3 linked regions of the Coturnix japonica genome follow. The protein of the gene in region 1 interacts with the protein of each later gene in a biochemical or structural test. Links are inferred from orthologs where the notes say so. Each region holds a gene or a part of one and is shown in the gene's direction. Other genes may lie near its edges.

Region 1 (3,653 bases):
TCTTGGCAGTTCTTCTATTGCCTTACAGAAAGTTCAGAATAGGCAAAGATATTATTTGTTGGTTTTGAAAGGGAGAGAGTTCAATAAAAGCAAATGAATGGTTTTTTTCCCTTCAGCTTAGTCTGTCACCACTTATGTTTTCTGCTACAGAAACGAAGCATTATTTTACATTTTCCCTTCTCAGTTGTGGATGTTTCCTCTTGACCCTGTCTTTATTTGTCATTGGTTTCTTTGCTTTAGAAGCACTGTTACTGCTATGCTATTGAATTCCCTGCTCTAAAATGAGAAAGTCAAGGAATGCTTTAACTTCCTCTTTGGTTGTGTGGTCTTTAGTTTTCTGCTTGGATCTCTGCATTCAAATTTTTGCCTTACTACTCTCAAAAGGCTTCTCTAGCGATGGCAGAATTTCATTTCTGAATCTTCAGATCTCTTTTGTGTCCCTGTTTTTCTTTTTTCCTTGTGCCTTTTATGGTGCTGTGCCCGACTTGTAGCAAGTCTCTCCATTTGTTTGTCTTTCTCCTGAATGGCTGCTCTCAGTTACCTGTGCATAGGCTCTTGCCTGGGTCTTTAAAATCTTTTTGTTCTGTACTTGTAAAGTCTAGGCCATATTCTTTGTCTACCTACACACACAGTTCAGTATGTATTCTATTTTCCTGTGTTGTCACATTGCACATCCAATTCAGCTCAGATGAGCTGTAACGACTACCCATTCCTTGGCCAACTGATACAGGCAGGTTTTCTTGTATCTTCACAGTTTGTGTTGTGGATGTCATTTGAATTTGGTTCAGTTTGTTTCATCTGAATTGTCTCAGTTTTAGGGTTTTCCTCCTTCTTTAGGGTTTTTAGGGCCTGCCAGTGCTTTTTTGCTTGCTACCTCCTTTCTTGTCTCCAGCTGCCAAATATTTTGAGAAGTGTCACATTTCCTTACAGTTCTGTCTCTCCAGCTGCAATGCTCTGTCACCATCTTCTAGGTAGTGTAACCCTAACCTAAATAGCATAATCTCTGCATACTTACTATACCTACTATAGACAAAATCCTACTTTTGTTTTGTTAAAAATAACAACCCAAATAAGCCATAAAAATACATTATTTGGACTCACTCCAGGCCCTATTGCTAAAATCAGCAATCTGTATCCTCAGGTGTTTTAAAAAGACAGGATTCTGTTGATTTAAACAAAGCTATGTGTGCCTTCCATTTGCTGTGGTTTTTGCCTGACTTCTGTCCATACTTAGTCTTTAGTCCTGCAATTTAGACATTAATTAGGCCATAGTTAGGGATCTTCCCATTTTTGAGCCACTTTGCATTTAAAGGTTTAGTGTAAATTGAATACATTCCAACTCTTTCACCTGGTTAATTTTGCAAATCAGAATAGGCCAGATTGAACACTTTTCTCAATTCAAGCATTCCTACAAGCTTTTTCCTAAGTTTTGCAGAACTAGAACTGTAATCCTGTGATGTTGTTTGAAATATTTGTCCCATATTTACAGACACACCTAATTTTTTACTTATGAACTCAATTACACTGAAGTATTAGTTGTAGACACAAAACCAGATTAATTTACACAAGCAATACAGTTAAAGTGTGCAAGAAAGCTATAACCATAGAGGGAGCCAAGGTTAAATTCTGGCTGTGGAAGTGAATCAGGCAAATACAGGAGTATAGTGTTTCTAATAGGTACTATGGTACTATATATTTGATGGTGAGTTAAAGGAAGTGGGTTTTGTTAAAGACATTTCTGCTGCTGCTCATCTCAGTAGGAGTGGTGCAGATTTTGCTCTTTGTCACAGGGCAGCAGTGGTGTTGTGATATGTCAAAGTGTGGGTGTTGTGCCAGGCAGAGCTGGCAGAATATTTGCAATAGGAATAGCAGGGTTGTGTATATAAACTTGGGACTTGCTGCAGCTGAGTCTTTTTGTGGGTAGTGAGGCCCTGTTCTGTCTCATGACCTTGAAGATTCTTCAACTCAGCCCTCCGTGAGCCCAGAAGTCATTTTGAGTCTGTATGTACATAGACCAGCAGGGCGAAGGAATGTCTACCCAGTGTGTTATGGCGGCACATCTTGTTGAGAGGAGAAGTGCCATCAAAATGCAAGATTTTTGTATTTGCTTACATGGAGTAAGTTACGGACCTGGTGAGAGATGAGCTGCAGTAGAGAAGAAAGCAGCAAATGATGGTACTTCAAATTCCAGTTTCTGAAAATTCCAACTTTTCCCCTTTTTTGGGCTTGGTGTTCTACTTAGACTAGAAGCAGAATTACATTTTGAGTGGAGTCTTAGTGCTTTGTTAGGCAGAACTACTGCACAGGTAAGAATTCTTAGTATGCTTTCAGTGAGTTTTACGTATTGGCAAAAATTGCTTTTTTCCTAAACCAGAAGTGTGACAGTACAAACTCAAAGGTATTCTTCCTACTGCCATCCAATTACAGATTGCTTTTTCTTTCCTTTTTATTTTTCTCTCTTCTTTCTTTCCCTACTTTCTAATGAGAAAATTCTTGTATTAAGGAATGCCCAAGCGCCTCCCTCCCGGGTTCCCTGCGGGCCAAGCTAACCAGAGCTTCATGCAAGGTCAGGTGCCTTCCACAGCACCGGGAACACCGGTGAACAGCGGAGCTCCACAGCTACAAACCAGCCAAAATGTGCAGCACGCAGGTCTGTGTGGAATGTGTTGTTCCTCAGTTGTTGGTGGGGAGGTTAATGGTTTTCAAACAGTTCGAGTACTTTTACTTAGAACTGTCATTCTAGGATCCAGAAGTATCTTCTTGGAAGCTAAAAAGAATTAGCAACGGGATTTGGAGGCTAGGGGTAATAAAAATACAGCACAAAAGAAACTTCTTGTCCTGAAAAAATGAAGGGCATTATCTTAGGGAAAACAAGAAAAGAAGCACCTTGTTGTTTGAAAAGGTTATTAGTTTCTTTGAAAGCTTTGGAAATCAGCTTAAAGAGAGTTTTGTGAAAAAAGAAATCTGCAGTTCACAGATATCTCATTTTAACAATTTGGTTATCAGTATTGCATCTGAATTATGTCCATCATCACCACTGTACGTGTATTTATTTTTTACCCATTGTAAAATGACTTCACGGTTTGAAGCTTCTTTTAGTTGGGAATGATTTTGTGAAATTAGGTGCTATTGTGGAATATTTTTAGGCTTATATACAGGTAATGACTGAAATGGAAGTTGAATGAAAGCCTCCTGCAGTGGGGTCCATGTGTGAAGCACCAATGAAGGTGATTTTTTTGTTTTGACAGGTAATGTTTATCTGTGACATCAATCATAGAACAGGACTGCAAATATGTCCAGCATTCCAGTTCATTAGAGAAAGGAGGAAAGTGAATTTGGAGTAGTTATTCAGCATCACATTTGAGAATTTACATCACTCCCATCGGTTTCTAACCAACTTTCTTTTTTATTGTTTTTAAAGGTGGCCAAGGATCTGGGCCTCCTCAAAATCAGATGCAAGCACCACATGGCCCACCGAATATGATGCAGACCAATTTAATGGGGCTTCATGGAGGTATGAACAACCAGCAGGCTGGTGCTAGTGGAGTGCCGCAAGTTAACATGGGCAACATACAGGGACAGCCTCAACAAGGACCACAGTCTCAGCTTATGGGAATGCATCAGCAAATTGTATCCTCTCAAGGACAGATGGT
Region 2 (3,653 bases), on another chromosome or scaffold:
TGAAATGCAGATTTATCTGTATGTCTTAATTAAACGTTCTGTGTTGAAATATATCACTGCTATAAGATTTTACACTCTGTTATTTAGTATGATTAAAAAGAGACTTCTTGCTTAGTGAAGTGAAAAGATGTTCAGTAACTAAAATCCAAGCTGAAGAGAGTGTATGTTAGATAAAATCCCATCTCACTTGAACTTTACCATGGTTTTCAATGAAACCAAAGCTATTCACTGTGGCCCCAGTCAACAGGACTGGTATCTCAGCGTGTTCTTTCTGTCAAGGTAGTTCCAAACTGTGTTGCTAAGTGTAGACAGTCTTAAACAGTGGTGGAAAGTGAAGTAAATTTCTGCCCTTATCAGTCTGTCTGGTTCATACTGCGTTTCTCTTGGGAACTTCATCCAGCTCTTGCCAAAGTCTGTGAGAGAACTCGTAGAAATTTATATCAGGATTAGGTCTACAGTGTTGGGAGAGAAGCTGTATCTGATTTCTTTACCTAAGACCAGGGTGTGTGGTGTGCTCAAATCTGAGACTTCAGTGGAGCTACAGTACTTGGTGTGAGCTGAGGATCTGACCTCCTATCAACTGCAATTGGCTGTATGTATATTATTGTAGGTAGATAGAATATACATAGAGAGTTCTTTGTTGGTGATGTTTGTTTTGAATATAGATGCTTGTGGGAAATAGGAATTCCTTTTCTCATAAATGCATATTTTTTCAGAATTATGGATCCATTATTTAGGGCCCAACTGAGAAGTTGAGTGAATTGTGTTTGACTGCAGAATTCATAGTCTTGCCCAGATTTGATTGGTTGGTTATTTCACTTTAGAGGAAGGGCACAAGTAAAACTGCTCATTCTTTGCCCTCTACTTACACTTAGTTATACGCCACCATTTTTGCCCTTAGCAGAGGCTGTCCTTTAATTAAGAGTACACATATGCCTCCCTTTGAAATCATTGTAATTTAAAAAGGGGCTCAAAATAAACTCTAGTTCCAATCAACAATAAAATTTATGCATGGAAATGCAGGACTTGAAGAAAACACGTAATCAGTATCTTTTTCCTCAAGACAGCTTTCCTTACGCTTTTACCTATCTCAGGGGTCTGTATGTTTTAATTTTTAAGGAGGAAATGTTTCTTGAATCTGAGAAAATGCCATAATCTATAAGTCTGTTTTGTTCTCTTTGAGAGTTTAATGGAGTATTTTATGCTGCTTACTTAGGTATGTTTCTACCAAACCAAATTGGCCACCAATTTGGAAAAAATACGCAGTAGTTCTGTTTCCCAATGTATTTATTTATCGCACTTAGGGATTTTTCAGAAGAACCATTCAGAAAAACCTCCATCCAACCTATTCCTGTAAATATGAAGGAAAATGTGTGATAGACAAAGTAACAAGAAATCAGTGCCAGGAATGTCGCTTCAAAAAATGTATCTTTGTTGGCATGGCAACAGATTGTAAGTATATTTTTCTCTTTTTCTTCATTTTCTCTCTCTCTCTCTTTTTTAATATGTATTTATTTGCTTTAAGTACGTTGGTTGGTGAAGATTGTTAAAAAAGAATGGAACTGACAACGTTTTTTGTTTTTAACCATTTGTTCTGGAGAATTATGCTCATTGCATCAACCCACTTCTGAATGCTGTAATATTTTGTTTACGCTTTACCAAGCTGCACCTTCTCCTGGCCTTTCTGGACTGAGTAACAATAGGAATGTTAACTCTTAGGAGGAAAGGAGGGAGGAATGCATCTGGATGGACACTTTGCTTGGAAAAAAAAAACATCTTGTTTAGAAAATTCTGGAGGATGTGAAACTGAATGCCGTTGTATGAGTCATCCTGCAGTTGTTTGTTTTATTTTTAGCCCTGAAGAAGTTATCTGCAAATAATTTGACTCTCATTCTAAAGAGCTAGAACATATGGCTGTAAGATTAACCCTTAGGGATCTTCTTTTCCTGCCACTGCACAGGGATTTACACCAATAACTTCAATTAGTGCAATGAGAGGAACTCATGTAAATCCCCCTGTGCATTGATGTTAATGGTTGTTGCCATTGTAATCCTCTGCAAATAAATAAATAAATAAAGACCAAAACCAAAACCAGACCCAATCAGGAAAATAAAAATATTCCAACTTAGCATTTTTCACTTGCAATGTAACGTGTGGCATTTTGTGTATAAAATGAAACAGAAGAAGTGAAACAGTTTCATTAAAGGCAGATGGTACTTAAAGAGAGGGAATGGAATGACTCTGGATCATCAGTTCAAATCCAGCCCACGTTGATGCATCAGGCAATACTGAGCATCAGCCATTTAGGAGCTGCACAGAATGAGAAGTTTGTCTGAGTCTGATTCTGACCAGCAGTTGCACTTTATGGTACCATAAAGTGGTGTCTATAGAATGCACATACAGGTGTGTCAGAGGAGCTGTCACTGAGACTGGAAGACAAGCCAGCTATCTCCAGACATCAGTACAGACTGAGGAATGAATATATTCAGGGCAACACTGCAGAGAAAGACTTGGAGATTCTGGTGGATGAAAAATTGGGTGTGAACTGGTAGTGTGCGCATGCAGCCCAGAAAGCCAGCTGTATCCTGGGTTGCATCAGGAGAGGGATGGCCAGCAGAGGGAGGGGATTGTCTTTCACTGCTCTGCCCCCGTGAGGCCCCATCTGGAGTACTGCATTGAGGCCTGGGGCCCCCAGTGCAGGGAAGACACTGAGCCTTTGCAACATGTCCAGAGAAGGGTCACTAAGATGATCAGAGGGCTGGAGCACCTCTTATGGAAGAAGGTTGAGGAAATAAGGTTCCCAGGAGACCTCATTGCGGTCTTCCAGTACTTAAAAGGAGCTTGTAAACAGAAGGGAGACCAACTTTTTATGAGGGATATTGACTTCAAACTGAAAGAGATTTAGAATGAATATAAGGAATAAGTTCTTTAGTGGGAGAGTGGTGAAGCCTTGACACAGACTGCACAGAGAAACTGTGGATGCCTCATCTGTGGAGGCTTTCAAGGCCAGGTTGGATGGGGACCTGGGCAGACTGAGCTGGTGGGTGGCAGCCCTGCCCACAGTAGTGTGGTGCACTAGATGATCTTTAAAATCCCTTCCAACCCAAACCATTCTATGATTGGTTAAGGTGTTGGTAATCAATTAGTACATCTGGTATAAATAGGAAAAACCTAAGTTCAGATAACTTCAGTAACTTCCTGCCGTTTTTGTATGCTCTTATCCTTGCTAGTGGTGCTGGATGACAGCAAGCGGCTGGCAAAGAGGAAGCTGATAGAAGAAAATCGAGAGAAGAGGCGTCGGGAGGAGCTGCAGAAAACAATTGGTCACAAGCCTGAACCAACAGATGAGGAATGGGAGCTGATCAAAATTGTCACTGAAGCACATGTGGCCACCAATGCACAAGGAAGCCACTGGAAGCAGAAAAGGAAATTTCTGGTAGGGGCTGCAGACATTCACACTGCTCTTGAAGTCAAGTTCCTTCATTTCTTCTGAAGTCCCTGCCCAGCATTGCAACCACTGGTGTATGTGCCAGTGTTTTGATTTATATGAAAAACTGATGATTGTTGATTCTTGGCTGATTCTCAATATTTGATCAGACCAGGTATTTAACAGATAAATAGCTTTCTGATGAGTTAAGGCTTACCTAGCTGGG
Region 3 (3,653 bases), on another chromosome or scaffold:
CAAGTACTGGGCACAACGCTACAGGCTGTTCTCTCGCTTCGATGAGGGGATTAAACTAGATAGAGGTAAGTGTGTCTAGTGCACAGGGTGCTGACTTTGGTGGCATAAGGGGTACCCAGGCCTGTGACCTTTCTTACAGCTTATTTATTACTAATTCTTTTGATGGAAGGAACAATACTGAGTGCACAGCCAATGCACTGACAAACAAAAGAGCTTTGGGACTTCTGTCTCCCGTTTTCTAGCATGGTATGCCCTTCTTTGTGCTGGTTGTGATGCTTGCTGAAGGTCATAGTGTACCCAAGCAATGCTTGGTCAGGACTTTCTCAGAAACTCAATGACATTTTTTCTCCATAATTTATTATTATTATTATTATTATTATCATTTTTAACTTTGAAGTGCAGTGGTGAATGTAATTTAGTTCTCTTAACATTCACGGTTTTTCAGCAGTCATTTTCAAGGTTGCATTTTTCCATGTTATGTGGAAACTGCTTCTAAATTATCAGTTCATAGGTAAATAAGGAGTTAGTATTACCACCGTTTTTGGTAAGATTTTTGTTAGGCTTTCATTTCTAGTATTTTTCCATATAAACACATAGTTTGTTTGGCAGGCCAGGCATGACTGTAATGAAAATAATGTGTAGGATGTGAGAGGATATATTTCTGTTTTTACTTGTGGCAGAGCATAGTTATGACATGTATAAGGTTTTGTGCAATTGTATTTATGTATTTGTCCTTGATAAGCGCCAAGTTCAACAAAGCCTTCAGTGAGAATCAGGGATATCTATTCACTTTGGTGAGACTTTGTTTGCTTAGCAAATCACTGGACTCAACGGAGTTTATAATCTTGAAAGCCTGTATTTCCTGGTCAAACGTGCTAAGCCAAAATTGCTGGGGTTGATGCTAAACCTTCAGTTGTTTGTTTTTAATTTAGATAACATTGAAATAAGTGGCAAAAATACTTCTCTTCCCTTTGCAGAGGGCTGGTTTTCTGTTACTCCTGAGAAGATAGCAGAGCATATTGCAGTCCGTGTCGCTCAGTCATTCAACTGCAATACAATAGTGGATGCCTTCTGTGGGGTTGGAGGAAATGCTATTCAGTTTGCTTTGACCTCAAAAAGAGGTAAGTAGGCATTGTATGCAGTACATTGTTTCATTTCTTCAACCTTTTTGCCCTAAAATTAGGGAAGGAAATTAGGAAGAAGTTTTTTAGGTTGAAGTTTTTCACACAGGGTGGTGATGCACTCAAACAGGATGCCCGAGGAGGTTGTGGATGCCCCATCCCTGGAGGCATTCAAGGCCAGGCTGGATGTGGCTCTGGGCAGCCTGGTCTAGTGGTTCGCAACCTTGCACATGGCAGGGGAGTTGAAACTAGTTGATCTTTGAGGTCCATTTCAACGCAGGCCATTCTATTACTCTATGAAAATTGGAGCTGGGCTTTTTTCACAGATGCATTTTTCTCCAGTGCTTCTGAAGCAGTGGGAGGTTTCTTCCTTCATCAGAATCACAATACAAGGTTTCTTTTTTTAAAGTTGACCTGTAGAACTGCTTTCCAATTTAAAGTCAAAGTTGGATTTACATTGAACGTAATAAATGTTAGTTTTAATTGACATAGTAGCTAGTCCATTGGATGCGCTGGAAATTGCTGTTAAAAGTTAAGTTCTGTTTGCAGTGCCAACCTGCAGTACACCAGAAAGCTGCTGCTTTTCTCAATAGTGCATTAAGACTATGTACTCAAAGGCATGTTTCATGTGAACTGTACTTAAAACATCGGAATGGGATCACCTCTGTCTGTGCAGCAGGACCTAATACAGAAAAGCAATGATAACTTGATATTAGTGTAATTTCTTGTTTCCAGGTAATGAAATTGCAGTGAATCATGAGTGCTTTCTGTAAATACATTAACTACTTAATCCTCCCCTATTCATGAAACACTGGTAAAATACCAGCTCATCTAACACTTCCCAGTAATTTCTGAGCAAGAAAAATGGTAGTTCGTGCTGCACTAAATTGGTAGGCTATGATGCATTCTATAAATATTTCCTAAATTTCACATACTTTATATAATTATATACTGCCATTGTATCATAATTTTTGTACTACACTGCGTGTTTTTCCAACTCAGTTTTCAGTGTAATGCGATCAGCCACAAGGCAAACATTCATCTTTGACAAGAGAGAAGAATGGGTTTCCAGTTGACTCTGTGGAAGCTGTTGGGCTCCTGCCCGGAGAGAAGATGGGAAGCCTTCCTCACTTAGGCAGACAGCCTTGCCTGTCCTATGCTTGTGCTGAGGAGTGTTGTAGTAGATGTGTGATTCCCAAAACTTAAACAGCGTGCTAAGTCTTCCCACAGTCTTGGCTATGGTATTGCTGTCACTTTGGTGTGAATGCATGGAGCTTCTACTGTAAAGTAAAGGACCCTCTTTTCCCTTTGAGGAGCTGGAGTTTCATGTCTACCGCCATGCAGAAAATGAAGTGCTTAGCACATGAAATGAAATTACGGATGTGATGTGTATCTGGTTGCTACAAGAGAATGTTGTGAAACTTTTGTTTGGTAACTGGGTGGCATCTGTGTGGTGATCGGATGTTTTGTGCACTTTGCAGCCCACGTTACCTGTGCACTTCCTCTCTCGTTCACTTGCAGTGATTGCTGTTGATATCGATCCTGAGAAACTCAGCCTTGCACGCAGCAACGCCGAGGTGTACGGCGTGGCCAACCAGATCGAATTTGTGTGCGGAGACTTCATGGTGCTGGCTGCTGACCTGAAAGCAGATGTTGTGTTCCTTAGCCCTCCTTGGGGTGGGCCTGACTATGCCACTGCTGAAATCTTTGACATCCAAACTATGATTTGCCCAGATGGATATCCTTTCAAAGCTCTGTGTTACCATGGATGTCATTTTCAGTCCTTTTTTTTTTTTCTTCCCTGTTTCTCTTGAGGTGGGCTTTGCCATGTCCAGCTGGTTGACTGAAAGTGACTGTCTGGATGAGGTGCTACAAGATACGGTTTAGTAACTTAGTGCTAGTAATGGTGATATGAGAACAGTTGGACTAGATGATCTTGTAGGTCCTTTCCAACATTGTGATTCTATGATTTCTTGTTGTTGCTATTTAAAAAAGGTCAATAATGGTGAAATAATTGACTTTCTGCATTTAGTGCTAACTTCTGCATTCTAGAGCAGTATCTAATTACACAGACATTCCATTATTGCGTATTAAGCTTTCAAAATGAATTAATATATAATAGTTTCTCCATCCATGCACTACCTTTTTTTTCCTTTACTGGCTTCTACATTTGAAATTTTCAGGCTCTCCAAGAAGATCACAAACAACATTGTGTATTTTCTACCTCGGAACGCTGACATTAACCAGGTATGTTACTGGATAACGGCTTGGTAACTACCAAAACATCAACTGGCTTAGAACATAGATAGTATAAGCACAAAGTTAAGATTTTTAAGTCTATTCAGTTGAACGTGTTTGGCTGTTTTGTTTAAAATCTGAACCTTATATTGAGTGGTGTCTGTGTTTCTAGCACTTCTGGCGTATATAGAAATGGGAGTAGTAGATGATTTCCATTATCTTGATACTATTCCTTCATAGAGCAGCAGACTGGAGGTACTTACAATCCAGGTGTGGTATATTTGGGTGCTAGAT

The links.
Region 2: the proteins of NCOA6 (region 1) and THRB form a complex in vitro, tested with the Homo sapiens proteins (2 studies listed by BioGRID). The link is inferred for Coturnix japonica from reciprocal best matches to the Homo sapiens genes NCOA6 and THRB.
Region 3: the proteins of NCOA6 (region 1) and TGS1 form a complex in vitro, tested with the Homo sapiens proteins (2 studies listed by BioGRID). The link is inferred for Coturnix japonica from reciprocal best matches to the Homo sapiens genes NCOA6 and TGS1.

What each region holds. Positions count from the first base shown.
Region 1 is NC_029535.1:435,297-438,949, forward strand, and holds part of NCOA6 (nuclear receptor coactivator 6), read left to right. Parts: intron 1-2,503; coding exon 2,504-2,650; intron 2,651-3,421; coding exon 3,422-3,653. UniProt on the Homo sapiens protein: Nuclear receptor coactivator that directly binds nuclear receptors and stimulates the transcriptional activities in a hormone-dependent fashion. Coactivates expression in an agonist- and AF2-dependent manner.
Region 2 is NC_029517.1:34,219,902-34,223,554, reverse strand, and holds part of THRB (thyroid hormone receptor beta), read left to right. Parts: intron 1-1,304; coding exon 1,305-1,452; intron 1,453-3,230; coding exon 3,231-3,436; intron 3,437-3,653.
Region 3 is NC_029517.1:100,459,076-100,462,728, forward strand, and holds part of TGS1 (trimethylguanosine synthase), read left to right. Parts: coding exon 1-65; intron 66-977; coding exon 978-1,121; intron 1,122-2,642; coding exon 2,643-2,859; intron 2,860-3,289; coding exon 3,290-3,368; intron 3,369-3,653. UniProt on the Homo sapiens protein: Catalyzes the 2 serial methylation steps for the conversion of the 7-monomethylguanosine (m(7)G) caps of snRNAs and snoRNAs to a 2,2,7-trimethylguanosine (m(2,2,7)G) cap structure.